Linked DNA regions of Stegostoma tigrinum. The protein of the gene in region 1 purifies or fractionates together with the protein of each later gene. This does not show direct contact. Links are inferred from orthologs where the notes say so. Each region holds a gene or a part of one and is shown in the gene's direction. Other genes may lie near its edges. The genes, in order: snrpa1, splicing factor U2AF 65 kDa subunit-like, cdc40 and ddx46.

What was found.
Region 2: the proteins of snrpa1 (region 1) and splicing factor U2AF 65 kDa subunit-like fractionate together in Homo sapiens (co-fractionation; 3 studies listed by BioGRID, with this or other methods). This does not show direct contact. The link is inferred for Stegostoma tigrinum from reciprocal best matches to the Homo sapiens genes SNRPA1 and U2AF2.
Region 3: the proteins of snrpa1 (region 1) and cdc40 purify together in Homo sapiens (affinity purification with mass spectrometry; 3 studies listed by BioGRID and IntAct, counting the BioPlex papers as one, with this or other methods). This does not show direct contact. The link is inferred for Stegostoma tigrinum from reciprocal best matches to the Homo sapiens genes SNRPA1 and CDC40.
Region 4: the proteins of snrpa1 (region 1) and ddx46 purify together in Homo sapiens (affinity purification with mass spectrometry; 3 studies listed by BioGRID and IntAct, counting the BioPlex papers as one, with this or other methods). This does not show direct contact. The link is inferred for Stegostoma tigrinum from reciprocal best matches to the Homo sapiens genes SNRPA1 and DDX46.

Annotation. Positions count from the first base shown.
Region 1 is NC_081386.1:1,212,333-1,219,953, forward strand, and holds the start of snrpa1 (U2 small nuclear ribonucleoprotein A'), read left to right. Parts: upstream 1-4,603; 5' UTR 4,604-4,651; coding exon 4,652-4,733; intron 4,734-7,621. UniProt on the Homo sapiens protein: Involved in pre-mRNA splicing as component of the spliceosome. Associated with sn-RNP U2, where it contributes to the binding of stem loop IV of U2 snRNA.
Region 2 is NC_081375.1:48,722,785-48,729,964, forward strand, and holds the start of splicing factor U2AF 65 kDa subunit-like, read left to right. Parts: upstream 1-4,169; 5' UTR 4,170-4,398; coding exon 4,399-4,447; intron 4,448-4,462; exon of another isoform or gene 4,463-4,627; intron 4,628-7,180. UniProt on the Homo sapiens protein: Plays a role in pre-mRNA splicing and 3'-end processing. By recruiting PRPF19 and the PRP19C/Prp19 complex/NTC/Nineteen complex to the RNA polymerase II C-terminal domain (CTD), and thereby pre-mRNA, may couple transcription to splicing.
Region 3 is NC_081357.1:25,293,324-25,300,593, reverse strand, and holds the start of cdc40 (pre-mRNA-processing factor 17), read left to right. Parts: upstream 1-4,262; 5' UTR 4,263-4,502; coding exon 4,503-4,688; intron 4,689-7,270. UniProt on the Homo sapiens protein: Required for pre-mRNA splicing as component of the activated spliceosome. Plays an important role in embryonic brain development; this function does not require proline isomerization.
Region 4 is NC_081366.1:30,953,681-30,961,164, forward strand, and holds the start of ddx46 (probable ATP-dependent RNA helicase DDX46), read left to right. Parts: upstream 1-4,470; 5' UTR 4,471-4,575; coding exon 4,576-4,592; intron 4,593-7,484. UniProt on the Homo sapiens protein: Component of the 17S U2 SnRNP complex of the spliceosome, a large ribonucleoprotein complex that removes introns from transcribed pre-mRNAs.

The DNA of each region.
Region 1 (7,621 bases):
ATTCTCGTGCCTGTCTCTGCCATACTGTCCCAGGATCTTGGTGTTGTCCCAGTCGAAATGATGGTTCTCCTTGTCCATGTGGATTGAGATCGGTGAGTATTGGTTGTCTTTTTGTAGCCAGTTGGTGTTCATGTACTCTTGTTGTTAGTTTCCTTCCTGTTTGCCCGATGTAGTGTTTCTCGCAGGCTCTGCAGGGGATCTTGTAGATGTCCTGTCCATGGCGGGGAGTGGGACCCTAGTTCGGGTGAGCAGTTTCCGAAGGGTTGACGTGGGCTCGTGTGTCACTCTGATGCCCAGCGGTCATAGGAGTCTTGCGGTGAGTTCCGACGTGTTCCTGCTGTAGGATAGTGTGATGTGTGTGTCGGGAAGTGTAGTATCTTTCCGGATATCCAGTTTTTCAGAAAGATACTACATGTATCTTTCATCAAGAAACATGAACTGATGTGAATGCGTTGAATAAACCTAAGATAGCTGTTAAATTTTTAATCACTTAGAAATGACGAATACACAAAATCCCAGAATTTATTTCAAGTCACTGTCCCAAGATAACTAAAGGTTTTATCAGTATACCAGAGGTGACTTCTCAAGTCAGACAATGCATTTTAGATGCGAGGCTTCGTTTAGAATCTGGCTGTTTATTAACTTGGAGTCAGATTGGTTTTATTTCCAAAGTAGGAATTTATAAAATTCCACACTGACTGTCTACAAATTGTGTGCTTTTTGAACGGAACAGAATGTATCTGCAATTACAAACCTGCAAATGCAAATTCACCCCATTGATATAGGTGCGTGTGTGTGCGCGCATGCTTGAGAGAGAGAGAGCGTCTATAAGCCTTGCCAAAGACGTTATTAAAGTCCACACAGGCAATGTCTACCGCTCTGCCCTCAATTATCTTGTTCATCTCCTCTTCCAAAAAACTCAACAAAGTTTGTGCGATATGATTTCCTGTGCACAAAGCCATGTCAACAATCCTGACTAGTCATGGCGAAGGGTTTTGGCCTGAAACATTTACTTCCCTGCTCCTTGGATGCTGTCTGACTTGCTGCGCTTTTCCAGCTCTACATTTATTAACTTTCCAGTCTTCTAGGACCTCAACTGTGGCTATCAATGATATAAGCATCTCTGCTAGGGGCCCCACAATTTCCTCCCTATTTTCCCTCAATGTCCTGAGATACATTTGGTCAGGTCCAGGGGATTTATCTACCTTTATGTGTTTTAAGACCTTCTCTTCTGTAATGTGGACTCTTTTCAAGATATCACCATTTATTTCCCTGAATTCTTGAGCTCGATGTCTTTCTCCATAGCAAATACCGTGGCGAAATATTTGTTCAGTGTCTCAACCATCCCCTGTAGTTCAACACTTAGACAGCTTCATTGATCTTTAAAAGGCCCTATTCTCTCCCTAGTTACTCTTTTGTTCTTAATACACTTGTAGAATCTTGTTGGGTTCCCCTTAGCCTTACCTGCCAAATCTACCTTAGGTCTCCCCTTCCCCTCCTGTTTTCACCCCCTGTACTCCTGAAGGGATTCATTTGATCTCAGTTGCCTATACCTGGCATGTGTCTCCTTTTTTTCCTTGACTAGAGCATCAACATCTCTAGAAATCCAGCATATCCTATACTTGCCTATCACATCACACGAATATGCTGTCCCTGACTCTGGGTATCTCACCTTTTAAAGTTTCCCACTTGCAAGACATCCTTTTACCTGTACATAGCCTCCCCAATCAATTTTTGAAAGTTGCTGTCTAACACCATCAAAACTGGCTTCAGTTCATCAAGACTGCTTCCCCAAAAATATACTAGCTGTGCTAATTAAAAAACAAAAGAACTGTCAATGTTGTAAATCAGAAATAAAAACAGAAATTGCTGAATAAGCTCAGCACGTCTGGCAACATTGTTGATCTTTTAAGGGCCCTAGTTACTCATTTGCCCTTAATACACTTGTAGAATTTCTTTGGCCCTTAATATACTGTTCTGAGGAAGGGTGTTTTTTCATTCATGGGATAAGGGCATCACTGACCAAGCAACATTCATTGCCCATCCCTAATTGCCTTGAGGGTAGTTCAGAGTCAACCACACTGCTGTGGGTCTAGAGTCACATGTAAGCCAGACCAGGTAAAGATGGCAGTTTCCTTCCCTAAAGGACATTAGCAAACCAGATGGATTTTTTCAACAATCAATGATGAATTCACGGGCATCATTAGAGTCTTAATTCTGGATATTCATTGAATTCAAATTCCACCATCTACTGTGGTGGAATTCGAACCTGGGTTTCTCAAACATTTCTGGGTCTCTGGATTATCAGTATAGTGCTAATACCACTGGGCCATTGCCTCCCCAGGGTCACCAAAGTTAACGAAACATTAACTCTGATTTCTCTTCGCAGATGCTGCCAGGCCTGCAGAGGTTTTCCAGTAATTTCTGTTTTTGTTACTAGTTATGCTATCCACCTGCCTGCACTCATAACCTTGAAAATTATGACATTTCAAGTGCTCATCCAAGTACTTTGTTGCTGCACCCCACTACCTTCCCAGGCAATACATTCCAGACCTCCACTCTCCTCTGGGTTTTTCCTCAAATCCTAAGCCTCTTGCCTTTCAGTTTAAAATTATCCCTCTTGTTATTGAGCACTTTGGGTCTAGTGATCATAATTCCATTAGTTTGAAAATGTTCATGGAACAGGACAAGCCTTCCACAAAAGTTGAAGATTTTAGTTGGATCAGGGTAAATATTTCTAATGTTTTGGAGGAAATCTGTAGCTCGTGTTGTGGGTGTTAAGGTTGGTTGGCTCGCTGAGCTGGTTTGTTGTTGCAAAACAACAAACCAGCTCAGTGAGCCAACCAACCTCAAAGGCAAATATTAACAGTATGAGACAAGAACTTTCAAAAGTTAATTGGAGTAGACTGTTTGCAGGGAAAGGAACGTTTGACAAGTGGGAGGCTATCAAAAGTGACATAACCAGGGTTCTGCAGCATTATGTTCCTGTCAGAGAGAAACGTAAGGCTGGTAGGGAAAAATGAATGAACAAACATATTGAGGTTCTAGTCATGAATAAAAAAGAATCAGGGGCATTCTTAAGAGTGATATCAGGAAAGCAAAGAGATGTGAGACCGGCTAGGCAGACAAGGTTAAGAATAGTCCAAAGAGATTCTACAAGGACATTAAGAATAAGACAGCAACTAGGGAGAGAGAAGTCCCTTAAAGACCCAAGAGTCGTCTTTGTGTTAAATCTCATGAGATGGGAGTGATATTAAATGAATATTTCGCATTAGTTTTTGCCATGGATAAAGAAATGGTCGCTAGAGAAAGCAGGGAAATAAATATTGATGTTTTGAAAACTGTTCACTTTACAGAAGAGGATGTGCTGGAGAGCTTATAAACGTAAAGGTGGATAAATCTCGTGGACCTGATCTTGCGTATCCCACCATGAGATACGACCAATTCTCACTTGTCTCAATACACGCGGACAACCCATCCATAACTGCACAAGCCAAACAGAGACACGCCAGGGAATTGGAGGCCTGGTATTCTAACTGGAACTCCATCAACAAACACATTGAATTAGACCCCTTGTACAAAAAACAGAGATACAGACCTGAAAGTGGTACCAAACATCCCAACAAATGGAGGCATATAAATAACAAGCGGAATTGAACACCAACGCTTCACCAGAGGCACACTAACAATCTTACCTCACAGAGTGACGAAATGTCTGCAAACAAACCCACCAGCTTGGCAAGCAAGTCTATAACCTCAAGCTAGTCACCAGTCTGATTCAGAAATATATTACTATTCCTTCAATTTGTCTGGGTCAAAATCATACAGTCCCAAGGATCAGTGGGATGAGAACAAAAACAGAAGTTCCTGAGAAAGCTCAGCAGGTCTGGCAGCATCTGAGAGGAAGAAAATCGGAGTTAACGTTTCGGGTCCAGTGACCCCTCCTTCACCGGATCTGAAACGTTAACTCTGATTTTTCACAGATGCTGCTAGTTCTGCTCAGCTTTTGCAGCAACGTCTGTTTTTGTTACTGAGTTACAGCATCTGCAGCTCTTTCGGTTTTTATTCAGTGGGATGAAAAGCTGAGGTTGGATTTTATTCCTGGAATTTGGAAAGAGATGAGAAGAAACGTTTTCTCTTCAAAGGTTTTAAACCTCGGTAATTTTCTAACCAGTTTAACCAGAAGTGTATACACCAGGTGTAGATGGAGCATCAGCTGTGATCTTACTGAAAGACAAGCTGAACGGCCTACCGCGTTACTATTTCTCATGTTTCACAAACACATCTGACCCTACCTTCTCCTTTATTCATCTTCTATCCACCTCCCCGTCTCCCTATTTATTTCAGAATTCCCTTCCCCTCCCCCATTTCTGAAGAAGAGTCTCGACCCGAAACGTAAAACTTTCCTGCTCCTCTGATGCTGCTTGGCCCGCCGTGTTCATCCAGCTTCACACCGTGTTATCTCTAATCAATGTCTCCCACTTCATTTCCAACGTCCAAAGTAACCCTGTGCGCACGGGGCACTATGGGAGTGAGAGCACGGGCGGGGCCGCGGGGCACTGTGGGAGTGAGGGCAGGGGCGGGGCCGCGGGGCACTGTGGGAGTAAGGGCAGTAGCCAAGGCGCAGGTTGGTGTGGGGGTGAGGGTCATCATGGTGAAGCTGACGGCGGAGCTTGTTGAATTAGCAGCTCAGTACACGAACCCGGTCCGAGATCGGGAGCTTGATCTTCGGGGTAAGAGAGTGTCGGAGAAATTTGGCTGATCGTCGAGCTATGCCCGTATCTAGCCGTGGGCCCAGAGGCAGTCTGGGGCAGGACTTCCAAAGCGCGGTTCGTCCTCCCCTCCCCCCGCACCCTCCCTGGTTCTTCTCACCCGCCTTGCCCATCAGCCTCCCCACCCCCCCTCCCTTCACCCTCCCCCCCCCCCCTCCCTTCCCCCTTCCCCCTCCCCCCCCCCTCCCTTCCCCCTCCCCCCCCCCTCCCTTCCCCCTCCCCCCCCCCTCCCTTCCCCCTCCCCCCCCCCTCCCTTCCCCCTCCCCCCCCCTCCCCCCCCCTCCCCCCCCCCCCTCCCCCCCCCTCCCTCCCCCTCCTTCCCCCTCCCCCCCTCCCCCCTCCCCCCCCCTCCCCCCCCCTCCCCCCTCCCCCCCCCTCCCACCCCTTCCCCCTCCTTCCCCCCCACTCCCCCCCCTCCCCCCCCCTCCCCCCCCCTTCCCCCCTCCTTCCCCCCCACTCCCCCCCCCTCCCCCCCCCTCCCCCCCCCTCCCCCCCCCTCCCCCCTCCTCCCCCCACTCCCCCCCCACTCCCCCCCCACTCCCCCCCCCTCCCCCCCCCTCCCCCCCCCTCCCCCCCCCTCCCCCTCCTTCCCCTCCTTCCCCCCACCTCCCCTCCTCCCCCCCCCCTCCCCCCCTCCCCCCCCCTCCCCCCCTCCCCCCTCCCCCCCTCCCCCCCCTCCCTCCCCTCCCTCCCCCCCCTCCCTCCCCTCCCTCCCCCCCCCTCCCTCCCCTCCCTCCCCCCCCTCCCCTCCCTCCCCCCCCTCCTCCCCCCTCCCTCCCCCCCCTCCTCCCCCCTCCCTCCCTCCCTCTCCTCCCCCCCCCCTCCCTCCCCCCCCCCCCTCCCTCCCCCCCCCCTCCCCCCCCCCCTCCCTCCCCCCCCCCCTCCCTCCCCCCCCCCTCCCTCCCCCCCCCCCTCCCTCCCTCCCCCCCCTCCCTCCCTCCCCCCCCCCCCCCCCCCCCCCCCCCCCTCCCCCCCCGCCCCCTCCCCCCCCGCCCCCTCCCCCCCGCCCCCTCCCCCCCCGCCCCCTCCCCCCCCCCCCTCCTCCCCCCCCCCCCTCCCCCCCCCCCCCCTCCCCCCCGCCCCCTCCCCCCCCCCCCTCCTCCCCCCCCCGCCCCCTCCCCCCCGCCCCCTCCCCCCCCCCCCCTCCTCCCCCCCCCCCCCTCCTCCCCCCTCCCTCCCCCCCCCCTCCCTCCTCCCCCTCCCTCCTCCCCCCCACCCTCCACCCCCCCCCCCTCCCCCCTCCCCCCCCCACCCCCCTCCCCCCCCCCACCCCCACCCCCCCCTCACCCCCTCCCCCCCCTCACCCCCTCCCCCCCCTCTCCCCCTCCCCCCCCTCTCCCCCTCTCCCCTCCCCCCCCTCTCCCCCTCCCCTCCTCTCCCCCTCACCCACCTCCCCCCCCTTCCCCCCCCCCCCCCCTCCTCCCCCACCCCCTCCCCCTCCCCCCCCACCCCCCCCCCCCCCCTCCCCCTCCCCCTCCCCCACCCCCTCCCCCTCCCCCTCCCCCCCCCCCCCCCCCCCCCTCCCCCCCCCTCCCCCCTCCCCCTCCCCCCCCCTCCCCCACCCCCCCCCCTCCCCTCCCCCCCCCTCCCCCTTCCCCCCCACCCCCTTCCCCCCCCCCCCTCCCCCCCTCCCCCTTCCCCCCCTCCCCCTTCCCCCCCTCCCCTCCCCCCCCCCCCATCCCCCCCCCCCCCCCACCCCCCCCCCCCCCCCCACCCCCCCCCCCCCATCCCCCCTCCCCCCCCCCTTCCCCCCTCTCCCCCCCCCTTCCCCCCTCTCCCCCCCTTCCCCCCCTCCCCCCCCCTCCCCCCCCCCCCCCACCCCCCACCCCCCCCCCCACCCCCCACCCCCCCCCCCCCTCCCCCCCCCCCCCCCCCTTCCCCCCACCCCCCCCCTTCCCCCCACCCCTCCCCCTTCCCCCCTCCCCCACCCCACCCCCCCCCCCCCCCCTCCCCCACCCCCCCCCTCCCCCCCCCCCCTCCCCCCCCCCCCCATCCCCCCCCACCCCCCCACTCCCTCTCCCCCCCCCCCCCTTCCCCCCCCACCCCCCCCTCCCCTCCCCCCCTCCCCCCCCTCCCCCTTCCCCCCTCCCTCCCCCCCTCCCCCCCTCCCCCCCCCTTCCCCCCTCACCCCCCCCTTCCCCCCCCCCCCCCCCTCCCCCCTCCCCCCCCCCCTTCCCCCCTCCCCCCCCCCCTCCCCCCTCCCCCCCCCCCTCCCCCCTCCCCCCCCCCCCCTCCCCCCCCTCCCCCCCTCCCCCCCTCCCCCCCCTCCCTCCCCCCCTCCCCCCCTCCCCCTCCCCCCCCCTCCCCCCCTCCCCCCTCACCCCCCCCTTCCCCCTCCCCCCCCCCTTCCCCCCCCCCCCCTCCCCCCCCCCCTCCCCCCTCCCCCCCCCCTTCCCCCCACCCCCCCCCTCCCCCCTCTCCCCCCCCTTCCCCCCTCCTCCCCCCCCCTCCCCCCTCTCCCCCCCCCCCCTTCCCCCCTCCCCCCCCCCCTTCCCCCCTCCCCCCCCCCCATCCCCCCCTCTCCCCCCCCCCCCTCCCCCCCTCCCCCCCCCTTCCCCCCCCCCCCCCCTTCCCCCCCCACCCCCCCTTCCCCCCCTCCCCCCCCCTCCCACCCCCCCCCTCCTTCCCCCCCCCCCCCCCCCCCCCCTCCCCCCCCCCCCTCCACCACCCCCCCCACCATCCCTCCACCCCCCCCCCCCACCCCCCCCCCTTCCCCCCCCACCCTTCCCCCCCCCCCCCCCCCCCACCCTTCCCCCCCCCCCTTCCCCCCCCCTCCCTTCCCTTCCCCCCCCCCTCCCTTCCCCCCTCCCTTCCCCCCCCCTCCCTTCCCCCCCCTCCCTCCCCCCCCC
Region 2 (7,180 bases), on another chromosome or scaffold:
CGCTGGAGCATTTTCCACTCTATTTCCCCGCCTAGCTTTGAATCTTCGGGAAATTTGCATATATTATACTCAGTCTCTTTATCTAAGCCATTAATATGGACTACAAATAGTCACTAATCCTGTCAGTGTGCATAAGAATGTTAATATAGAGGTCATCCCTACTAAGTCTTACACTGAAAAATAACCCAGTTGTCTATAATATTTAGCCTCTCATTGAAGTACCTGAGTTAGAAGCTGAGTCATTTTTTTCCTGTGATCAGAGATAATGGGAACTGCAGATGCTGGAGAATCCAAGATAACAAAGTGTGGAGCTGGATGAACACAGCAGGCCAAGCAACACCTTAGGAGCACAAAAGCTGACGTTTCGGGCCTAGATCCTTCACCAGAAAATTTTCCTTGGGTCTAGGCCTGAAACGTCAGCTTTTGTGCTCCTAAGGTGTTGCTTGGCCTGCTGTGTTCATCCAGCTCCACACTTTGTAATCATTTTTTTCCTGTGTTATTGTTCTTGTGATGGGGCTGCCATTGACAAAGCCAGCATTTATTGCTCAGCCCTAAGAGTCAATTATATTGCTATGGATGTGGACTCATATGTAGGCCACCCCTCGGCACATTTCCTTCCCTGAATGAGCCAGATGGGATGTTTTTAATGACAATTCACAGCAGTCACATGATTACTATTAGGCCAGATTTTTATTCTTTATTTTCTTTTCTGTTAAATTCCAGTTTCACCATCTGCTGTGGTAGGATTTGAATAGATGGCCCTAGAATGGCCCATGGAATTGCTTTCTAGTTCAGTGACATTACCACTACACAATCATCTCCCTATGATTCTGTAGCCCTGGAGTGTCAGAAACAACAAACTTTACATTCTTTTAGTGTTTTAAACAACTTTCTGCAATTGCCCTGCAAGGATATTTTATTGTCCACTTGCTTGTCAATCAGAAAGTTCCTGATGTGTCATATTTGCTCTACCATGTACCACAACCTAGATGCAACTTCTGTTTATTTTACAACAGGGTAGAACAATGCTGAGGTTTTATGAACTGAAGAAGGAAACCCTCCAAAGAGTATGAACAGCAAATTTACAGCAAAGCAGGACTTCTGTCTGAAGACCTTATGCTAAATCATAGGGTTGACAGTCCATGCACAACAGAGAATCTGAAACAGCCATCAGGAGGGTGGAGGTGAGCTGAAGATCTACCACAACAAATAAAGGTTTCATGAAAACTCTTAAAAAATACAATATTTGCAAGAAAATGTTTATCTCACCTATACACTAATATTTGCAATGTTTGAAGCGCTGATAAATATATTTTCCATCAAAGGCCCGTGCCTTCCTGCAAAGCCTGAGGTTCAAATTTTCCCTAAAAACTGAAAGAACTACAAATGCTGTAAATCAGAAACTAAAACAGAAGTAAGACCATAAGACATAGGAACAAAAATTAGGCCATTCGGCTCATCGAGTCTGCTCCACCATTCAATCATGGCTGATAAGTTCCTCAATACAATTCTCCTGCTTTCTCCCCATAGCCCTTGATAATCAAGAACCTATCTATCTCAGTCTCATATGTACTCAATGCCCTGGCGTCCACAGCCTGGAAAAACTCAGCAGGTCTGGCAGCATCTGTGAAGAGGAATCAAGAGTTAATGTTTCGGGTCAGGATTGATAAGGGCAGAGCAGTGGATATGACCTAAATGGGCTTCAGTAAGGCATTCAATAAGGTCTCTCATGGCAGACTGATTAGCAAGGTTAGATCACATGGAATATAGGGAGAACTAGCCATTTGAATTTAGAACTAGCTTGATCAGTGCTGGGTCCACTGCTTTTTGCATTGAGATAAATGATTTGAGTGTGAACAGAGGAGGTATGGTTAGTAAGTTTGCAGCTGACACCAAAATAGCAGGTGTAGTGGACAGTGAAGAAGGTTACCTCAGAATACAATGGGCCCTTCGTCAGAAGGGACATTGGGCTGAGGAGTGGCAGAGTGAGTTTAGTCTAGATAAATGTGAAGTGCTGCATTTTGGTAAGGCAAATCAGGGCAGGGCTTAATGGTAAGGTCCTGGAGAATGTTGCTAATTGAAGAGACTGTGGAGTGGGAGGTTCATAGTTTCTTGAAGGTGGAGTTACAAGAAGATAGGATAGTGAAGGCAGTGTTTGGTACACTTGCCTTTATTAATCAGTTCATTGAGTATAGGAATTGGGAGGTCATGTTGGGACTATACAGGACATTTGTTCGGCCACTTTTGGAATACTGCATTCAATTCTGGTCTCCCTACTGCAGGAAGGATGTTGTAAAACCTGAAAGGGTTCAGAAAAGATTTATAAGGATCTTGCCAGGATTGGAGCTATAGATAGAGCCTGAATAGGCTGGGGCTATATTTCCTGGAGTGTCGGAGGCTGTGGATGACCTTATGGAGGTTCATAAAATCATGTGGGGCATCGAAAGGGAAAATAGTCAAGGTCTTTCCCCCGGGGTGGCAGTGTCCAAAACTAGACGGTATGAGAGGGGAAAAAATTTAACAGAGACCTAAGTTGCAATGTTTTCACACACAGACTGGTGCATGGACGGAATGAGCTACCAGAGGAAGTGGAAGAGGCTGGTACTATTACAACATTTAAAAGGCAATTGGATGGGTATGTGAAAAGGAAGGGTTTAGAGGGATATGGGCCAAATTCTGGCAAGAGGGACCAGATTAACTTAGGATATCCGGTTGGCATGCATGAGTTGGACCAAAGGGTCTGTTTGCATGCTCTTTCAGCCCTATGACTCTATGGTTTATAGCACTTGTTAAATAAGAGTGCTAACGTCTGCATTAGCATAGCTTAAAATAATCTGTTGAGTTTGTAAAATAGCTGATTTGTGCTGTGAATAAATGATATGCATTCACATGCAGGAACCCATACATTACAAAATAAGCAACAGCTTCAAATTTTATGTAATTTTGGAGAGCCCATGTAGCTCTTCATCACTTTCTCCAAGACAGTGCCTCAAGCAATCAAAGTCAACTCGCAAAAACATCAACTTTTGCTCCTAAGATGCTGCATGGCCTGCTGTGTTCATCCAGCTCCACACTTTGTTATCGCCAATTATTTAGCATCTTCTTCTCTTGTATAATTGTTTGGTTATTTGAAATTTGGCATTATTTTTGTGCTGATTTACAAGATGAAAAGCTTAAGCAAACTCTTTTTTCATCAATTTTCCGTCTTGCCCACTGGAACAAAAACTGATTGTTCTTATCCAGATTTAGATGGGCTCTACTGTTTAATTTGCCCTGAATACATGAGAACTGGCTCTTGACTTTGCGTGGTGATACAAAATGACTCCATCATTTTTTTTGTACTATATTCAGAAACGTATAAAAGTAGACAACTTTAAAAAGAAACACAAAATATCAGGATAATTAGCAATATAACAGTAAGCTCCCCATGTATCTTAATTTGGTACTTTTAAAGTGTCTCATGTTGTCCTTCTTCAAAAACTGGTCAAACAGGAGAATAAAAATTAAATTTTTCGACAATAGATCTGGTTGCTTTCTACTCAGAACTCAGTCACAACAGGAGACTGCCAGAAGAACAGAGGGAAACACTTTAGGGAGGTGCTCTAAGCATCTATAAAGAGAGGGAGTCTCTGCAGCAACTCATGGCATGATCAAAGGGGGAAATTTATTTTAGAAGGCATCAAACAGATTGAAGGACTTCAATGGGAGCACAACCTCTATTCTAGGTGCCTGTCCTTCAAGTCCAATTTGCCCTTCATGTGGCAGAGTCTTGAAATGGTCCATTGGATTCATCAGCCATCTCAGAACTCACTCAACCAAAACAGAATAAACAAGCCATCTCTGAGCCCGTAGGTATTGGCTAGCAAACGAAGAAATGGAAACAAAAATGTAAACGTAACTGAAAACACTTTACACCTTACTGGGTGAAAGTTAGGGAATGTTTATTTTGAATGTGTCTGTTACTGTCATTGTGTCACTTTGAGGAAGAGCGGCAGTGAAATGCGTTAAGTTCCCACACGGCGTTTGACTCTCTGCGCGCACCGTCCCTCCGCGACCCAACGTGGCCTCCGCGGTCCTGCCCCAACGATTCGCCCATGGGGGGATACTCTCGGCAACGATTGGTGAATTGAGCTGTCAGTCGGAGGCCGGTCCCGGCGTTGGGGGAGGGGAGGAGGAGAGCGCCATCCGGAAGCCGCGGGTGAAGCGGCCATTGTGCGGAGGGAGCAGAGTCTGAACCCGAGTCGGCGGGGGGGAGAGCTGCGGCACCGTTTTTAACGGTGATCGAGGGACGGCGCGGGACTCACGATTGATAAACCACCTTTTGTTTTCTTTTTAAAAAAAACAAGTTTCACCCACTTTCTTTTTGAAAAAAAATCGTAAAGGTTCACACAGACACAAATGTCAGACTTTGACGAATTCGAGAAACAGTTGCACGAGAACCGACAAGGTGAGCAGGGCCTACCGGACCAGGCTTTTTCTGGGTTTTTTTATATAAAGGATTCCAGGGCCTCCCCGTCATCCCACCCCGTCGGCCCTGCTGCGGCCTCGAGTCAAAATCGTCCGTGTTTCCAGGAGTTAATTTAAAACTGGTTTCTCAATGAATACCGAATGAGCGGCGGGTGGGTGCATTGCGCAAGCTCAGTGTCAACTTAGCCAACCCTGGTGACAGGAAGAAGGCCATTCCGTCCCTCTGTATTCTGCACCCCCCGTAGTCCGATTCCACATTCAGCCCATGTGGAGACTTGGGCATTCCCTCTCTCTCAGCTCCTCTGCACACTGCCTCTTCTCCTCATTCAGCCCCTCCAACCACTGCGCTCTATGTTCTGACCCGTACCCCCTTTGCCCCCACCCATTCATTAGCAACATAAAAGGGAATCCAGAAGTCTGCTGTAGGGATATAAACGGCAAAATGGTAAGAGAAGGAACAGTCGTGCCTTTTCGGAACCAAAGGGAGATCTGCACAGGGAAAACAGTTCACCTTGGTACAAAACGTGTATTTGTGTCTGTTTTCACTAAAACCTTGCACGTTTGGGTGCCTGAGATAACAAAGGTGTAGAGCTGGATGAACACAGCAGGCCAAGCAGCATCAGAGGAGCAGGAAGGCATATGTTTCGGGCCAAACCTTGTATGTTTGGCTGCCTGCAGTTTTAGGGGAGTACTGAAGTAATGACAGATGTGGATTTGTCTATATGTTTTTACTTTAAAATATTTTTAATCTTTTGCCTTTTCAATTTCATTGAAGGGTTTGATTCAGTATTTAAATGTATTAAATTGAATTATGTTTCTTTTGGTCAAATGTCTAATTGACAAACAAGTCTAATCAATAGTTAATCTATTCCAGAGAGATGCTGATCTATGAATGTCCAACATACAAATGTTTGTACTTATGAAAGCAATCTCATACTGGGATATAATTTAAAATATCCAACATAAGTACAAGAAATTTTGATACGCATACTTGCTTTATAATTGTCCTGCATTGTGTTCCACCTTGTGTACAAATTAAACTCAGGAACCGAACCCGTCCGCAACCTGGGATCTGCCTGTATGTTCTTTTATAATTGTGTGAAGACCAAAATTTTCTGAATGTATTTGTCTGTGAATTTTTCAGCATTTGCTGTTTTGAGATTTTTTTAAACAATCAATATATTAGTATTTAGTAGAGCCGCTGTTCCTTAACTGCGTTTCATACAACTGGTTAGAACTTGCTGTTGCCTCCTGCTGTTTGAATAGCTGAAAATTGCAAACAGGTGCTAAAATCCAGTAAGAGGCTGCAGTTGAATCCTTTGAATCATTCAGTTTTTACCAACTTGAGCATTTTATGAATTATGTACATACTCTGTAGAGCAGTCCAAGATGAAGTTGCAAGAAATTGCTAACCCTTACAAAAATTATATTTTGGATTTTTCTCCAAGCTTCACTCAGTCCTTCCTATATTAAGCAGAAATTTGAATTTTACTTGATTATACCTATTAGCCAACTTGGATTTCAGTTACAGTATACGACATTACAGATTATATGATTTAGTCTCCTCTGAATTGAAAAACTCTTATTTCTTATACATATATTGAAACTCAACATTGTTGCATACCCTTAAGAATGTGGTTTTGATCAGATTTTTAAGTAGGTAGGGAATTGGAATTATTGGGTAAATTTGTCTCTCAGATTTAGTACCCCTGGAAACATGGGTGCTTTCCTGTCTTTTGAATATTTATGAAAGAGTTATGAGGGATTTACAATTAGGTGACTTTTTACTTTTAGCATGAATCTGTGAACTAGCTATTTTAAGTACAAGTTTTATTTGTCACTCATTCTGTTCAGATATAGTTTCGGATTTTTTTTAAAAGCATACATTTCTCAAAAATATTCAGTGGTGGGATTTGAACAGTTAGGGTAGCATTTATTGCCCATGGTCATGAGCTGCTTTCTTGGACTGCTATGGTCTACATCAGGTAGATGCACTCAGAAGTGAATTCCAGGACTTAACCCAGCAGAAATGAAAGAAAAGCATTGTACGTCTAAGTCAGGATAGTGAGAGACTCGCAAGGAAATTTACTGATTAAAGTCATCCCAGGCATCTGCTTCCTTTGTATTTGTAAGTGTTAGAATTTGAGAATGTGGAAGGTGCTGTCAAGGAAAACTTGGTGAATAATTGCAGTGCGTCTTGTAGACGGAACCTGCTGCAGCCGCTGTGCAGTGGTGGAAGGATTGAAGTGGCCTGTTCTGTCCTGAACAGTGTTGGGCTTCTTGTTTTGGAACTGTGTGTGTGCCGGCAATGAAAGGTATTCCATCACACACCTGGCTTACATTGCAATCAGGCTTCGGAGACTGTGAATGTGAATTACTCACTGAAATTCTCAGCCTTTGACCTGCTGTTGTAGCCACAATGTTTACTGGCTGGTCCATGTTTTAGTTTCTGGCTAGTGATGAACCCTAGGATGTTGATAGTGGGGGTTCAGCAATAGTAATGCCATTGAATGCCAAGGGGGCACGATGAGTAGATTCTCTGTTGGAGATGGCCATATTTGTAGATATTCTTTCACTGATATTGAGCTAACATAGGAGAAACCCAACAGGCAATCCAAAGAAATATGAGGAGTACATAACAGTATTTTATGTCTAACTTCAGGCGCATTCCTGCTATGAATAATTGAGAATTAATTATTAAGGCATATGTAAA
Region 3 (7,270 bases), on another chromosome or scaffold:
AAAGCTAGTGAACGAAAGAATCTAACTTTAATTAGAAGTCATGATATTAAGAATTGGTTGGGAAGTTGTGTAATTTATCATGCCAATGGCCTAACTTTTATGACAAACAAAGCTGTTATTGCTCATGGCATTACTTCACTTAAAGCACAGTATAGCTCTTCTACAATCCTCCTGAAGCTTAATAATACTGTTCATGGTTTTTAAACATGAATTATTAATTGGCAACATACCAACTATGAGATAAGGCGATAGCCAATCTTTTATTTCAGTAAAGCATCCAACACATTAAAAATAACAAAAATGGCATAATTTCACATTTGGCATTTCACGTAAATCTCCGTGCACTTAAGATGCCAGATGAAATAATTTATTCACAATACTGTATTTGTGTTGCAAATGTACTTTTAATGGATAAGCATTGCCCTTTCATAATGATCTGCACAAATCTATAAAAACCTAATTATATAATTTGTCAACAAACAGCCAACCTCAGAAAATCATAAAAAGTAAATTGGCTCCTTATCCAATTTCCCAAAACATTCTCCTGAATTGTATCTTTTCATGTTAAATATTAAGATAATTATATGCATAATATTGAAGAAACTTTCTTTGCAAGTAAGATTACTTGGCAGTATTTTTTGGTGTAATGAGACTAGTACAGCAAAATCTGGTTTTCATAGATTTTTTGCCATACACATTTTCAGTATACATGACCGATACAATGCTCCTAAACACACACACTTCTCCATGATGTTTCTTTAAAAAGTTACATTTCTAAAAGTCATTCATATTCAGTATTTTGAAAACTTCCATTTCATTAAAGCCAATATTTCTTTCATACATTTATATTCTCAGCCTACTCAAGCACAAAAATAATTTATTTGCCATAAATTTAGAACATTTTATAAGATTTATGTGAACACTGGCCAGCCATAATTATCAAGTAGCTAAGTGCAATAACTAACATACATCTGCGATGAAAAGACGACCAAACAATTTAACACAGCAGTTTCAATCTTCAAATAGCTAGTTCACAATAACAAAATGCATCTATCTTGAAATAAAGACAAGAATAATTAAAATAAAAGATAGTGAAATTTCCTTACATTTGCACCCAAGATACAACTATTCAAGGTACAAAACAAAACTTGCTTTAGGAGACCAAACAAAAGTGTAAGATGCACAGTTACGTTAGCCTTTCAGTCCTGCTGATCGTGCTTTTCACCTCAGCACGTGACCATGCAAGCTATATACATAAGTTTCTTGAAAGAATGGCGAGTTAAAATGGATCTAAAATTAGGCAGAGAATTTAGATGCTGCTGAAAGGTTATTTCTTTGGTATTTTATTATTCATTTTAGACTGCTCCTCCCTTAAATCTAAATTGTGTTGTCTCTGCCCTTCCATGTTTACAGTTTCAGCACCAGTCATACAAAGAGTTGAAAACACTCACAAGCCCATGTTCTTTTGTGTGTAATTAGTTAGCTTATTTGAAACCTATACATTTTACATTGAAGAGGAACATATGGTGAGGGGTCCACATTTTCTTCAGGTCCCAACTCCTCATGCAATGACATCAATGAGTAAATTGCTGTAAAATGGGCTGTTGAATGGTGCAATTTTAGGTAACGCTGTCTAAGTTTGCTACACAAGACATGCTGTCCTGGTTGGCTTTTCATTTACCATCCTTAAGCTCATATGAAACCACTGCCAACTCCCAACTTGCATCAAGCATCATTCATGCATTCCCTGGAAGCTCCACAACTCAACAATGCCTCTAATTTCGAATTTGCATCAAGTACCTTCTTGGTTCTTCAAGCTTACAGCTCTCCAAGAACTCTCTGTTCTTCCAATTCTAGTCTCATGAGCACTTTCCTTTTGTTTTGCCCTATTGCTGGTAGCTGTATTGACCAAAGTCGCAGGTCTTTGCTCTGTAATTCCATATTTAAAACACACTGTGTTCTATCTTGCTTTCTATCCTGCTCCAAGATGCTCCTTAAAAGCTACTTGAAATTCCTTGTCCTATTACTATTGAATTTCCATTTCTGTCTGATAACGTGTAAGCTCTTGGCTACATTTCCTTTGTTAAAGGTATGGTCATAGTGAGTGGATCCTGAAATTTTTCTATAAGCAGAAAAGCGCTACGTTTTAACTTCAGGAAGATTTGAAGTTTACAAAACAATACAAATTTTAAAAAAGCACAGCAGCAGAAATCATCCCGATTGATTTGTTCTTAAAGTTAAGAAACAGGATCGAGCTCAAATCTGTCACTGCTCCAACTTTTGAAACCCTAAGCTTGGAAAAAAGTTACCCGTCTCAGAAATGCATAGCGATTTATACTAGAACATTTTTTCCAGGGTATTGCAATTATTTCCCCAGCGAGTTATCTGAAAGTCGTTTGCAATTCCACTTCGGCTGTGAAGAGCAATTATTCGGACCGCATATAAGAAGTGCTAATGAAAGGAAAGGATCCAAAGTACTAAGTTGTGCTTTTAAAGTTTTGCGCAAATTGAGATAGTGTCGCTCCAACCGCTCATCGTGGATCTCTCTTTACTCCGCTCAAAATATTGAAACACTGCGGTTAGGGGGTGGGTGCGTATGGGAAGGTCTTTCGAAGAGGTGAAATACAGGAGCTCAGGTCTGCGATCAACCTCTGGCGTGGGAATCGAGTACTGCGGGCGGCAGAGTTTAAAGCAAAAATAAACAGCCTTTCAAAACGTAAAGGCAAATAATTTTCTGCATTAGGTCAAGGGGCCAGGAAAGCAGACAGTCCTGAAAAGTTGCTCATGGTCATTCGCAATAAAATTGCTAAATAATCAGCACGTTTATCATTCATCCTAGTCAAATGTGTTCCCTACGCTGCAAAATTAGCGACCGTTACAGTCGTGATGCGACGGCACCGCACCTACAAACATGAACTTACTGTCCGTGAGTGGACAAAACTTCAACAGTAAGCCTCTGTTTATAAATTGCACAAAATAAAATACCCTGCCGCGCTGAGATCTAATATCTTAGGGTCACAGAATATTTGCCGATCTTCTCTTCCACCCGCTACACCCCCTTCCCAAATTCTTTGTGGAAATCGAGGGCATCCATCCAGCTTCACGAAAACCTCAATATTGAAATAAAATTTCTGCAAACAATCGACACCTTTATACTGCATGTTCTTGCGAAGGGATTGAGTGCGCATCCAAATTCACGATCTCAACTAAGTGGTTGAAATGGAACAGGAGAGAGAGCAGTGAGTTATAGCGAGTTGCAGAAAGGTCAGACTCTCGATAACACGGGATTTTTTGCGGCCAGTGCAGCTCCGACTGTGGTGCAGGAGAGAATGAGAGACTCAGGGCTGAAGCCCAGGTGCACCCGAGCAAGCCCCATCCATCAGTCCAACCATCACTACCTGCCGGGGCCTCGGCAACCACAGAAAGAAATTGGCGAGGGAGAAGAAAAATAAAAAGGTAAGATTGTAGACTGCAAAAAAAAATTACCATGGCTAAACGCAAGCCCCTCTCCGAACACACACCTTTGCTGTGAGGCAATTGTTTTGCACAGCAAATAAAAACACTGCAACAATAAATAAAATTCCAAGAGCTCGACATTTCATTCACTGAGATTAGAATTACGTACCCTGTAAACTCTTACCGGCCTCGAGTATTTTTTTAAAATATAATCTTCCGAGATACCTAGACCTATAGATTTTTTTTTAAAAAAAACAATGAATTGGAACGTCTTTCAGTTGGAGAATAACGTCTTCATTGTCCGCGAGCGGCCGTCTGGGAGCTTCGCTCTAACCGGTCCGCTTTTACTGACGCCCCAAGTTTTCGCCGGTCTCGATAACAACACCGCCGCCGCTTCAGCCGGAATGGCGCACGTCGGCGACACGCACGGGGAACATCGCACCCGCGGCAGCAGGACCCGTTCGCTTCTTCAATCCGAAAATAGAGGCGTTTCGGCTTCCAAATCGCAGAGAACGGCCGAGCTTAGAAAGCGCCGGACGCAGCTGTGCCTGCCGGAACGGATTTCGTCCACCGCTATCCGGCTGAACGCACTGAGCGATCCTCCCGTGTATTGTCCCAATGGCACTGGCCGTTTGGAAGGGGTATGGGGGAAGACCATCGAATTGGAATGCGTTGTGGAACGGAGGAGGAAGGGTCGAAGGGAGCTTTGTGATGTCTTTTGATCGACAAGGCACAGAACCAATGGACAAAGGGTTGTTGCCGAGATGGGCTCACCCACTCCTTCCCAGGCTAGCCAATCAGATTGTCGGAGGTGGGAATTTGGGCCTTACCGCCGTGGGGTAAATAATAGTCCTTGGAGTTTCGCTGAAGTCCGGGAGGATGATATTGTGAGACTGACGCCGATAGAAATTTCTCAACATTTAAAATAGTGAAGACGGTGCCAAGGAAACTCCTGTCAGTGAACGCTGTGGTGTTTACTTGGGGAGGACTGGTTAAGTTTTAGATCTGCAAGCGCGCGTCATCTTCTGAGAGAGGCGCCCGCGAAAATGTCGGCGGCGATTGCGGCTCTGGCCTCTTACGGCAGCGGCAGTGGCAGCGACTCGGATGGTGAATGTGGAGAGCTCCCCAGCCGAGACGCCGTGGCTCATCTGCACCCTCTGGAGCCTAAGAAATCCATGTCACGCCTTCACGGATCCCTCGCTTTGAACTCCGCTCCTGATGTTGCTGTAAAGGTGAGTGTAGGAAGGCCCGAGTCGGGCCTGATGGGGCACATGGGTTTAGTCTGTTGACAATCTCACAAAAAACGGGGTTTGTCTGCCTCCGACCCGAACCTGGGGAAAGGACAGAATTGATGCGTCTACGACAGAAAAATACCACTCAAAAATTCCTTAATAATGTTGGTGATGTTCCGTTGAATAGCTATTGGAAACTGACATCTGATAACAGACCATTTTAACTAGACTACAGATTTGTTGCTAACTTGTTTCATTTATGAGGAGAAAAACCTTTATAAGTAATTTCCTTGCGTGTACAGGCTTAGTATACTTCAGTAAATTGATAAGCCCCATTTGTTATTATTACATTTTGATTAACCCTTGAAAGATAGGTACTTTTAAGAACAAAATACAGAAGTTGCTGGAAAAGCTCAGCAGGTCTGGCAACATCTGTGAAGAAAAGATCAAAGTTAACAGAATAGTTCTGAGGAAGGGTGAACGGACCAGAAATGTTAACTCTGATTTTTTTCTTTGCAGAAGCTGCCAGACCGGCTTTTCCAGTAACTTCTGTTTTTGTTGCTGATTTACAGCATCCGCAGCTCTTTTGGTTGTTATTAGGTAGTTTTTAAGACACAGGTGATTTGCTTAGAGCTCTTTGCAACGTTGTCCACTACACACACGTTTGTTTTGATGTTTCAGTAGGAACTGCCGCATGGATTTTGGAAACAGATTTAGCTGACTTAATGTGTTTTGGTGTTTGGATTAGAGTCATAGAAATATTCAGCATGGAAACAAGCCCTTTTGTCCAATTTGTCTATGCTGACCAGACTAAGACCAGACTGTCTAAATCCTCCCCATTCCTATACCCATGCAGATACCTTCTAAATGTTATAATTGTACGAGTCTCCAACACTTTCTCTGGCAGTTCATTCCATATGTGCACCACCCTCTGCATGAAAAAGTTGCCCCTTAGGTTAAATCTATGCCCATGAGCTTTGTACTTCCCTAACCTGGGAAAAGACCTTGGCTATTCACCCTATCCATGCCCCCCCATGATTTTACAAACCTCTATAAGGTCACCTCTCAACCTCTAATGCTCCAGGGACAATAAACCTAGTCTATTCAGCCTCTGGCCATAGCTCAAACCCTCTCACACTGGGAACATCCTTGGAAATCTTTTCCGAACCTTTTCAATTTTCACAACATTTTTTGTTTAGCAGGAAGACCAGATTTGAAGGCAGTATTCCAAATGTGGACTAAGCAATATCCTGTACAGCCACAACATGACATCCCAACTGATCAATAAAGTCTAGCATACCAACCACCTTCATCATTACCCTGTCTCCCTGTGACTCCATTTTCAAAGAACAATGAACATGCACCCCTGGATGCATACAGTGTTACAGATTTGCAGCAGCAGCAGTGTACACCATCTGAAAGCTGCACTACAGAAATTCACTTAGGCTCCTTGACAGCACCTTTCAAACTCATGCCAACTACCATCTAGATCAACATGGGCTGTAGTTACGTACAGCCACTACTACCTGCAAGTTCCCCTCCAAGCCATTCATCATCTTGACTTGGGAATATATTATTTTTCTTCCAGTGTTGCATGGTCAAAATTTTGGAACTGCTCCCTAATGGCGTTGCTAACAGCAAATGGACTGAAGCAGTTCAAGAGGACAGCTCACCGCTACCTTAATAAGTGCTGTTAGAAATAGCCAGTAAATCCTGGCCCAGCCAACCATGCCCACTTTTGATGAATGAATCTTTTTAAAAATTGTTTTTAACCATAAAGCAGAAATTTGAAGTAAAATGTATGGAAATAAAATAGAGTAAACCACACAATTTACTTGTAACACAAACTGTAAAGATGTTAAAACATACAGTGAAATATAATTCCATTAAACTTTTAAAAAGACTCCTGTACAGATCCTAAAATACTTCAGTACAGTACGCAGAAGCACCCCCTTATACAGCTGTCATACCGGAAAGTTTCTTGCACCTGGATGTGTCTAATTTGACTTCAGCTCTTGACAGGGAAACACAGTAGTTTCTTCCCAGAGCTATCATATGCCTGAGCTTAATTATCTCAATTTCAAGTAACCTGTTCAGGATTTTATCCAAACGTTTCCGTTCTGGAACTTTAACTCATCGCTCCAAGGTGGTCTAGTTCTGTCATAGTCAGAAGTCACATGGTACTAAGTTATAGTCCAATAGGTTTGTTTGAAATCACAAGCTTTCAAAGCACAGCCCATTCATCAGGACAATAACAATGGTGTTGTGTGACTTCTGACTTTGTCCAACACAGGCACCTCCACATTATAGTTTTAACAAATCCACCATCTTTTTCCTTTCTGGAACAACTTTGCACATGAAAACTTTGCACATGTAGATCTGCCCAAAACTGACAGTAAAACTGAAAAAAATCTCTCTAACGTTTCAATCTCTTCAAGCTTAAAAAAAACATGATTTTCTAGTAGGAACTTTGAGGAACAATTATTTACCTTGCTCAGTGAACCCTCCAGAGCTACATAAGAACTAGTTCAGTCTAAAGACTCTCAACTGTTTTGAAAACAAAATTGTCATGGCTGCAGAGA
Region 4 (7,484 bases), on another chromosome or scaffold:
TGGAACAGTTTGCCATTGCCAGGATATTCTGAAACAAACTAACATGCTGCCAAGGATAAATTGTCTCCCTATTTTGAGGGCAGGGTCTTGGAAGTCCTAGTCAACAAATGATGCAGACGAGTGAAGTTTTCTTTCCCCAGGCCCAGCAGTGGAGGCCACAATATCAGACCCTATTGGTCTGGTTTTAACATTACCACCCAGGTCAGTCTAGATAAATCCACAGCCAACTAGGAAGAAGGTCAATGTCCTTCTTCATTCTACCAGCGTAAGTGCCACCACCTTCTCTCCAATGCATCACACTCAATCTATCTTGGCGACTGCACCCACCTCCCACTCTTATTACTGCCTGCAACATCTTCTGTCACTTGTTATTGCCCATCGCAATACCTGACAGCACGAACCATGTATGTCTTCTGCACTGCCTAAACACTCACTCGGGACACCTTGCTACCTGCATTAGTGTTACCCAATTTTATCCCCTTTTCACCTGCTCTTCTCTCATTCCAGGACGAAAATGGCCCACAGTGGGACAGGGAAGACCAAGTGGAGTGATGGGCTGTGATAGTCTCCTCATTCTCTATTTGGACAGGATTCTGATATTGACCACCCCAACAGACCAAGTAAACAGGTGGTGATGCATTGTGGCTCAGTTTATGAGCTGGGTGCATGTTGCTGAGAGCAAAGTATCCTTGCTGCAGTATTACTCTCATAATTACTATTGCATCGTGAAGTGCAACATTGAAATTCAAGAGCACTGTGCATGGATTAGAGGTGTGCCATGAGGCTTCTTCAAGGCTGGCACATTCTGGACACCAATGCCCATGGATATGGGGTGTACATTAGCATTGCCCATGAGATGCTGACAACTGTTCCCAACATGGAGGTTCTTCAGAGTGAGCAGTGAGCTGAAGTCACCAGGTACCTGCTTTGACTTGCATGTTGAATTATCTTGGTGACTAGTTTGCTCACAGTGGGTGGTAAATCAGGAAGCTGCAAATTTATAAGGTCAAACGTGCAGTTAATAACATCATTAACAAGCAGTACTCACCCCTGATAAATAATTTGCTTCTGTATAGCTAGAATTTTGCCTCAACACCCAGAATCTAGTTATAAGACGCAGCAGTTTTTCCCAACATGTCGCTTGTCTTGTGTGATTGTGGTAATTTCTTGCCATAGCCCATGGCATCCAGGCCCCTATTAGGTTGTGCCCCATGTCCGATTCTTCCTTTCCAATCATTTTTCTTGTATTTATCATTATCTCATCATCATTTCTCCTTCAGTTCTGATTTACTTTGAATGGATTCAGGTAAAATTCACTTAGAGAGTTGTGTATATCATAAGGAATGATCAAGCAAGGCCCAGTTGAGATTATGCAGGCAGCATGTAAACATCATGCCAGTGGGTCAATTCAATGATTGGGATTTGCTACACAGTACAAAATGCATGACCAACTCATGGTCACCAACAAGCTATTCTGGTCCACCCATATTGATATAATGGTCAAGAAAGCACAACAACCACTCTACTTCCTCAGGAAGCCAAGGAAATCCAACATGTTCACAAGGATTCTTACCAGTTTTTTACAGATACACCATAGAAAGCATCTTAACTGGATGCATCACAGCATGGCATGGCAACTGCTCTTTCCAAGGTTGCAAGAAGCTAGACAAAGTCATAAATACAGCCCAGTCCATCACACAAACCAGCCTCCCATTTCTTTGATTCCACCTGTACTTTTCGCTGCCTCAGGAAAGCAACCAACGTAATCACGTACGAATAGATTCTAGAACAGCTTCTTCCCCGCTATTATCAGACTTTTGAACAGACCTCTCAAATGTTAATGTTGATCTTTTGCTCCTTCTGCACCTTCTCTGAGGCTGTAACACTGTATCTGGCACTCTGTTCTGCTGCCCTGATACACTTTGTATGGTATGATCTGCCTGTGTAACACTCAAAACAATACTTCTCACTGTATTTTGGTACATGACAACAACCAATCAATCGACCAAATTGCAGCCAGACAGTATTTCTTAAAGGCAATCTGTTCTTCTTAAAGGGAGCAACTGGTGGAATTCTGTGCGAGAGGCTTTGAGGAAAGGATTAAAAATATCAATAAAACACAGTTCAGTGAAAGGGATTTTCTGAAAAGTAGTGGGAGGCTTTAATTTAAGGGATTGGAAAAAGTAGAATGGTTATGTCTTCACAGAGGGCCAGGATACCCTCAATGTACAACCTATGAAGGAAATGTGAGCATAAATGATCACATTATCAAATTCCAGAAGTCCAGTGCCCAGGACCTGACAGCAATGCTAGCAAACGTTCAATGGTCCCACATAAGTAAGCAAGGTCAATGAGTGTATCATTTAATGTCTCGTGTTATCCATCAACCTACCAACTCCTCACACTGTGTAATGCACACAACCCATTACTCTGCCACCAGGAATCTTTGGTATTCCTACACTCAAGCCCAATATTAGATGCTGCATTCATTCTCACACACTTATCAATAGGCTGGCAAAGCCTCCTTCTAATTTCACAAACCTACAGCTATTCAGTCATGTCAGGCATGTCACCCCAACTTGTTTAAGTATACTTACAGATATTCTTTCCTCTCTCCTGTAGGACAAGACAGCATATAGCAGAAGAGAGCAGCATAGACCTCACATGTAACAGGCAAACTTACAGCCCTTGAACCCTTCAGAGAGAAAACATTACACAGTAGTGATTGCGGACTTTGCATTCTGCAGTGTTGAGAATTCTTGGATGAAGGCATGCGCCTGTCTTACTCACTTTTAAAATCCCACCTCAGCCTTTCCTGCTGACATGTAGTGCAAACTGCAAAGGGTTTGAGCATGATTCTGCAGCTTTCCACTCAACACATTCCTTTACCTCACTTCAATCCTCCTCTTTTGCATTTCTACTTTCAGATACCCTAGATCTGCTACCTGACCAGTTAGTGGTGTCTCATTGCGAAGATGAGAGCAACAGCATGTTATAAAGAAATAATGTTACTGATAGGCTGACATAATGGCGCTGAATATAACTTAGAGGCATTAGCACTTTAGTGCACAAGTGGGCTGCAAAGCTTATAATGTTATAAGCCAAGCCAGAGGGAAAGAATAGCTCATGTGTCTACTCTCTGGAGAGTGAAATTGTGCATGACATCACAGATGAATCCTAAACATTGAAGATTACGAGCCTTCTTTCAGCCATGCTGCAGCCATTGCGACTACATATGAATACTCGGCCAGGCAAAGACACCTTCAAAACAGGCACCTAAGAAATGCAGCAGTGTGAATAATTTGATTTTGTACATATCATTGGAAATGCTGTCAGAGAAAGTTGTTTTAAAAAGACTTGCTCTGTGCTGTCTTTCATTTCAGGATTTAAGCCAAGAAGATGAAAAGACTCTGGACTTGTAAAACAATGATGATGTGGCAATGAGATTACCAAGGAACGAAAGTCTGAGAATCTGCTCAGAGACAACTCACCACCATCTGTTCCTCTTCTGCCTCTTCTTTTCCACATTGCCCACTCTGCTGACAGGGCCTGTGCCCTCATGAGGAAAAAGTTATAGACAATGCAATAGACCAACACAAATTTGTTAAATACTGAAAGGAATTTCAGACAATGGAACAGTTGTTCGTAACATTAATCATTTGTTCCACAATGTTATAAGCCTGCTATCAATTCGTGATCAGGTCCAACAGTCATAAGCCACATGCAAAGTCCTTGCCAACAAGCATCTTTGGTGCATCATTGTAATTCAAATATGGTATGGATGGTTGATTAATGCAGTAAGATTGCTGCCAGCAATGGGCTTTCATCAACTTGCTCTGTGACTGGGTACACACTAGCTACATTTTCAGTGAGTGTTAGCCCTTGCATTTGTGATGTATCCTGGAAGGTGTTTTCAGGGCCTTGAACAGTAAGGAGGGAAGAGGAGAATGGGCAAATGCTACACCTTCTGTGATTGCTTGAGAAGGTGCCATAGCGGGTGAGAGAGCATTCGGAGTGTTGCAGGAATGAACCAGGGCACCATGGAAGGAACTGTTCTTGTGGAATGCTGACAGTGAAGGAGAGTAAAGATGAGTTCAGCAGTCACATCCTGATGGAGGTGACAAAAATGGAGTAGGGTAATCCTTTGAATGCGGTGACCAGCAGCGTGGAAAGTAAGAACAAGCAGAGCCTTATTACTATTTGGGGAAAGAGGATAAGGGCTGAAGGCAAGAGGTGTGGGAGATGGGTCAGACCAGACTGAGGGGACCCTGAGACCGCGTTAAGTGCTCAAAGCAAACAAAATTGTTCTCACAAACTGTGGAACTGGATGGACATAGCAGGGCAAGCAGCATCTGTGCGGGTTCTCCACCGTCAGCAGTCCCCATTATCTCTAATACAAAATTTATCATCGGTCCCAATGAACGATAGTGTGGCATTAGGTCCTCCGGTCAGTCGGTGGCGTTGTTGCTGGAAGCCAAGAGGCTTTTTCTTTCTTCTTGGCGCTGTGCGCTCCTTCTTCATCGGATTGTGGCGAAGGTGGAGAGTTGCTGGTTTTGTTCTCTTTAATCGTTCGAAATGGGCAGAGAGTCCAGGTAGTGATAAATGTATTTCTCACTGCGGGTGGTTAATGGCGGGGAGAACAGTCTGACGGGCGGTAATGAGTGGTAGGGAGAAAGGCAGTTTAATGGAGTAGGCCTCAGACCTAGCAGTCACCCAGCCAGAACTCTCTGCATCGATTTATCGCCCCTTCTATACCACGATACTTTCCTCCACAGCACCTCCAGCAAAGGATAAACCGTCGGAATATTTCACTTTTTGAAAATCGCCTTTGTATATTTTCACGTCTGGTATTTGGTAGCCAGGAGGAGATATGTTTGCCACCTGTTGTGGTAGTGAACAAGGGGGCTTCAGATTCCTGATGGGTCCTGAGCAAGGGCAGTGGAAATTTCAAATCTAATCTGGTACCCCCGAGCTCAGGTGCACAGCTGGCACAATTTCTGTACCAGTTTAAAGGGGTACATGTATTTAGTTATTAGATGAAAATGGTTTTGGGAATGATTCGATAAATTTCGTGGTCACAAAATCAGTTATAGTTAAGTCGTTGCAAGTTCACATAGGGAACAACTTTGTAATTACACGCTATACCTTATCAGCTGTGTCTGAGTTAGATCGTTGTATGAGTTCAAGTCAAATTTCAAGACTTGAGCATCGAAATCCTGACTGACACGCAGCATTGAAGGAACATTTACAGACTAAGAGTTGTACACCACAGAAACATGTTTCAGTCCAACTCATCCATGCTGAACAGATTCCCTAAGTTAACCAAGAGCCATTTGTCAGCATTTGGCCCATATCCCTTGAAAGCCTTCCTATTCATATACCCATCTGGATGCCTTTTAAATGTTGTAATTGTACCAGCCTCCACCAGTTTTTCTGGCAGCTCACTTCATACATGCACCTCCCTTTTAAATCTTGTCCCCTCTCCCATCATCTCCTCTAGTTTTGGATCCTCCCAGCCTGGGAAAAGACTTTGACTATTCACCTTATCTAACCTGGTCAGTCCTTAGCCTCTGATGCTCCAGGGAAAATAGCCCCAGCCTAATTAGCCTCTCCCAATAGCTCAAACCCTCCAATCCAAGCAAAATCGTTGTAAATCTTTAATGGACCCGTTCAACAGGAAGACCAGAATTGTATACAGTATTCTAAAAATGGCCTAACCAATGCCCTGGACAGCTGCAACATGACCTCCCAATTCTTATACAAATGCACTGACCAATAAAAGCAAGCATACAAAATGCTGCCTTCACTACCCTGTTTACCTTCAAAGAATTATGAACCTGTTTGGCAACACTTCCCAGACCCTAAATAATGCATAAGTCCTGAGATAAGAAGGTGTAGAGCTGGATGAACACAACAGGCGGAGCAGGAAGGCAGACGTTTCGGACTAGACCCTTCTTCATTTTCTGAGGTCTAGGCCGGAAACGTCAGCCTTCCTGCTCCTCTGATGCTGTTTGGCCTGCTGTTCATCCAGCTCTGCACCTTGTTATCTCAGATTCTCCAGCATCTGCATTCTTGCTATCTCTAAAGCCTAAGTCCTGACCTGATTTACATTATACCACATGTTTATCTAAATGAATTTCCATTTGCTACTCCTCAGCTCATCGGCCTATCTGATCAAGGCCCCATTGTACTCCGAGATATCCTTCTTCAGAATTCACTACACCACTAATTTTGGTGTCATCTGCAAACTTACTAGCCATTCTTGTATTCAGATCCAAATCATTTATTTAAAAGGGAAAACATTGTCAGAGGTGCTAACTTTTGTTAACTTGAGGACTAGCCTGCTCTTCTGAGCAGAATGGCACAGGGAATTGGCTGTAGTGTCATGCTGGTATTTAATGTGCAGCTAATATCTTAGAGCAGAGTGGTAATGACCACATTGTTCTCTATGCGACAGTTTGCTATACACAAACTGGCTGCTCTGATTTTTTTATATTCACTCATCGGACATGGGCATCACTGGCTGGCCAACATTTATTGCCCTCGAGAATGTGGTGGTGAGCTGCCTTCTTAAACTGCTGCTGTCCATGTTACTGTAAGTTGACCCAAAATGCTGTTGTGGTGGGAATTCCAGGATTTTGGTGCAGCAACAGTAAAGGAATAGCCATATATTTCCATGTCAGAATGGTGAGCAGCTTGGAGGGGAACTTGCAGGTGGTGATGTTCCCATGTATTTGCTGCCCTTGTCCTTTGAGATGGAAATGGTATTCAGTTTGGTGCTGACTAAAGATCTTTGGTTAATTTCTGCAGTGCATCTTGTATATAGTGCACACTGTTGCTATTGAGCATTGCTGATGGAGGGAGTGGATGCTTGTGAATGTTGTGCCAATCGAGTTTTCTCCTGGACGCTGTCAAGCTTCTTGAGCGTTGTTGGAGCTGCATCCATCCAGGCAAGTGGGGAATATTCCATCGCACTCCTAACTTGTGCCGTGTAGGTAATGGACAGGCTTTAGGAAGTCAGGAGGTGAATTTCTTGCCACAGTATTCTTAGCCTCTGACCTACCTTCGTGGCCACTGTGTTTATGTGAGAAGTCCAGTTGAGTTTCAGTTGTAATCCCAACGATGTTCAAGAAAGACGTGGAATCCTTGGAAAAGGCACAGAGGAGATTTACCAGGATGTTTCCTGGAATGGAGGAAAGGTCTTACGAGGAAAGGTTGAGAGAGCTAGGGCTTTTCTCTTTAGAACGACGAAGGACGAGAGGTGACTTGATAGAAAAGTACAAAATGATCAGAGGTACAGATAGAGTAGACAGCCAGAGACTATTTTCTTGGGTGGAGGTAGCTATTACAGGGGGCATAGTTTTAAAGCAAGTGGAGGTAGATACAGGGGAGATGTCAGAGGTCTTTACTCCTTGGCCCATCGTGCATTGATGTTTTAACTTTACCCAATCATGACTCCAGATGACTTGGAAATAGCTTAATCT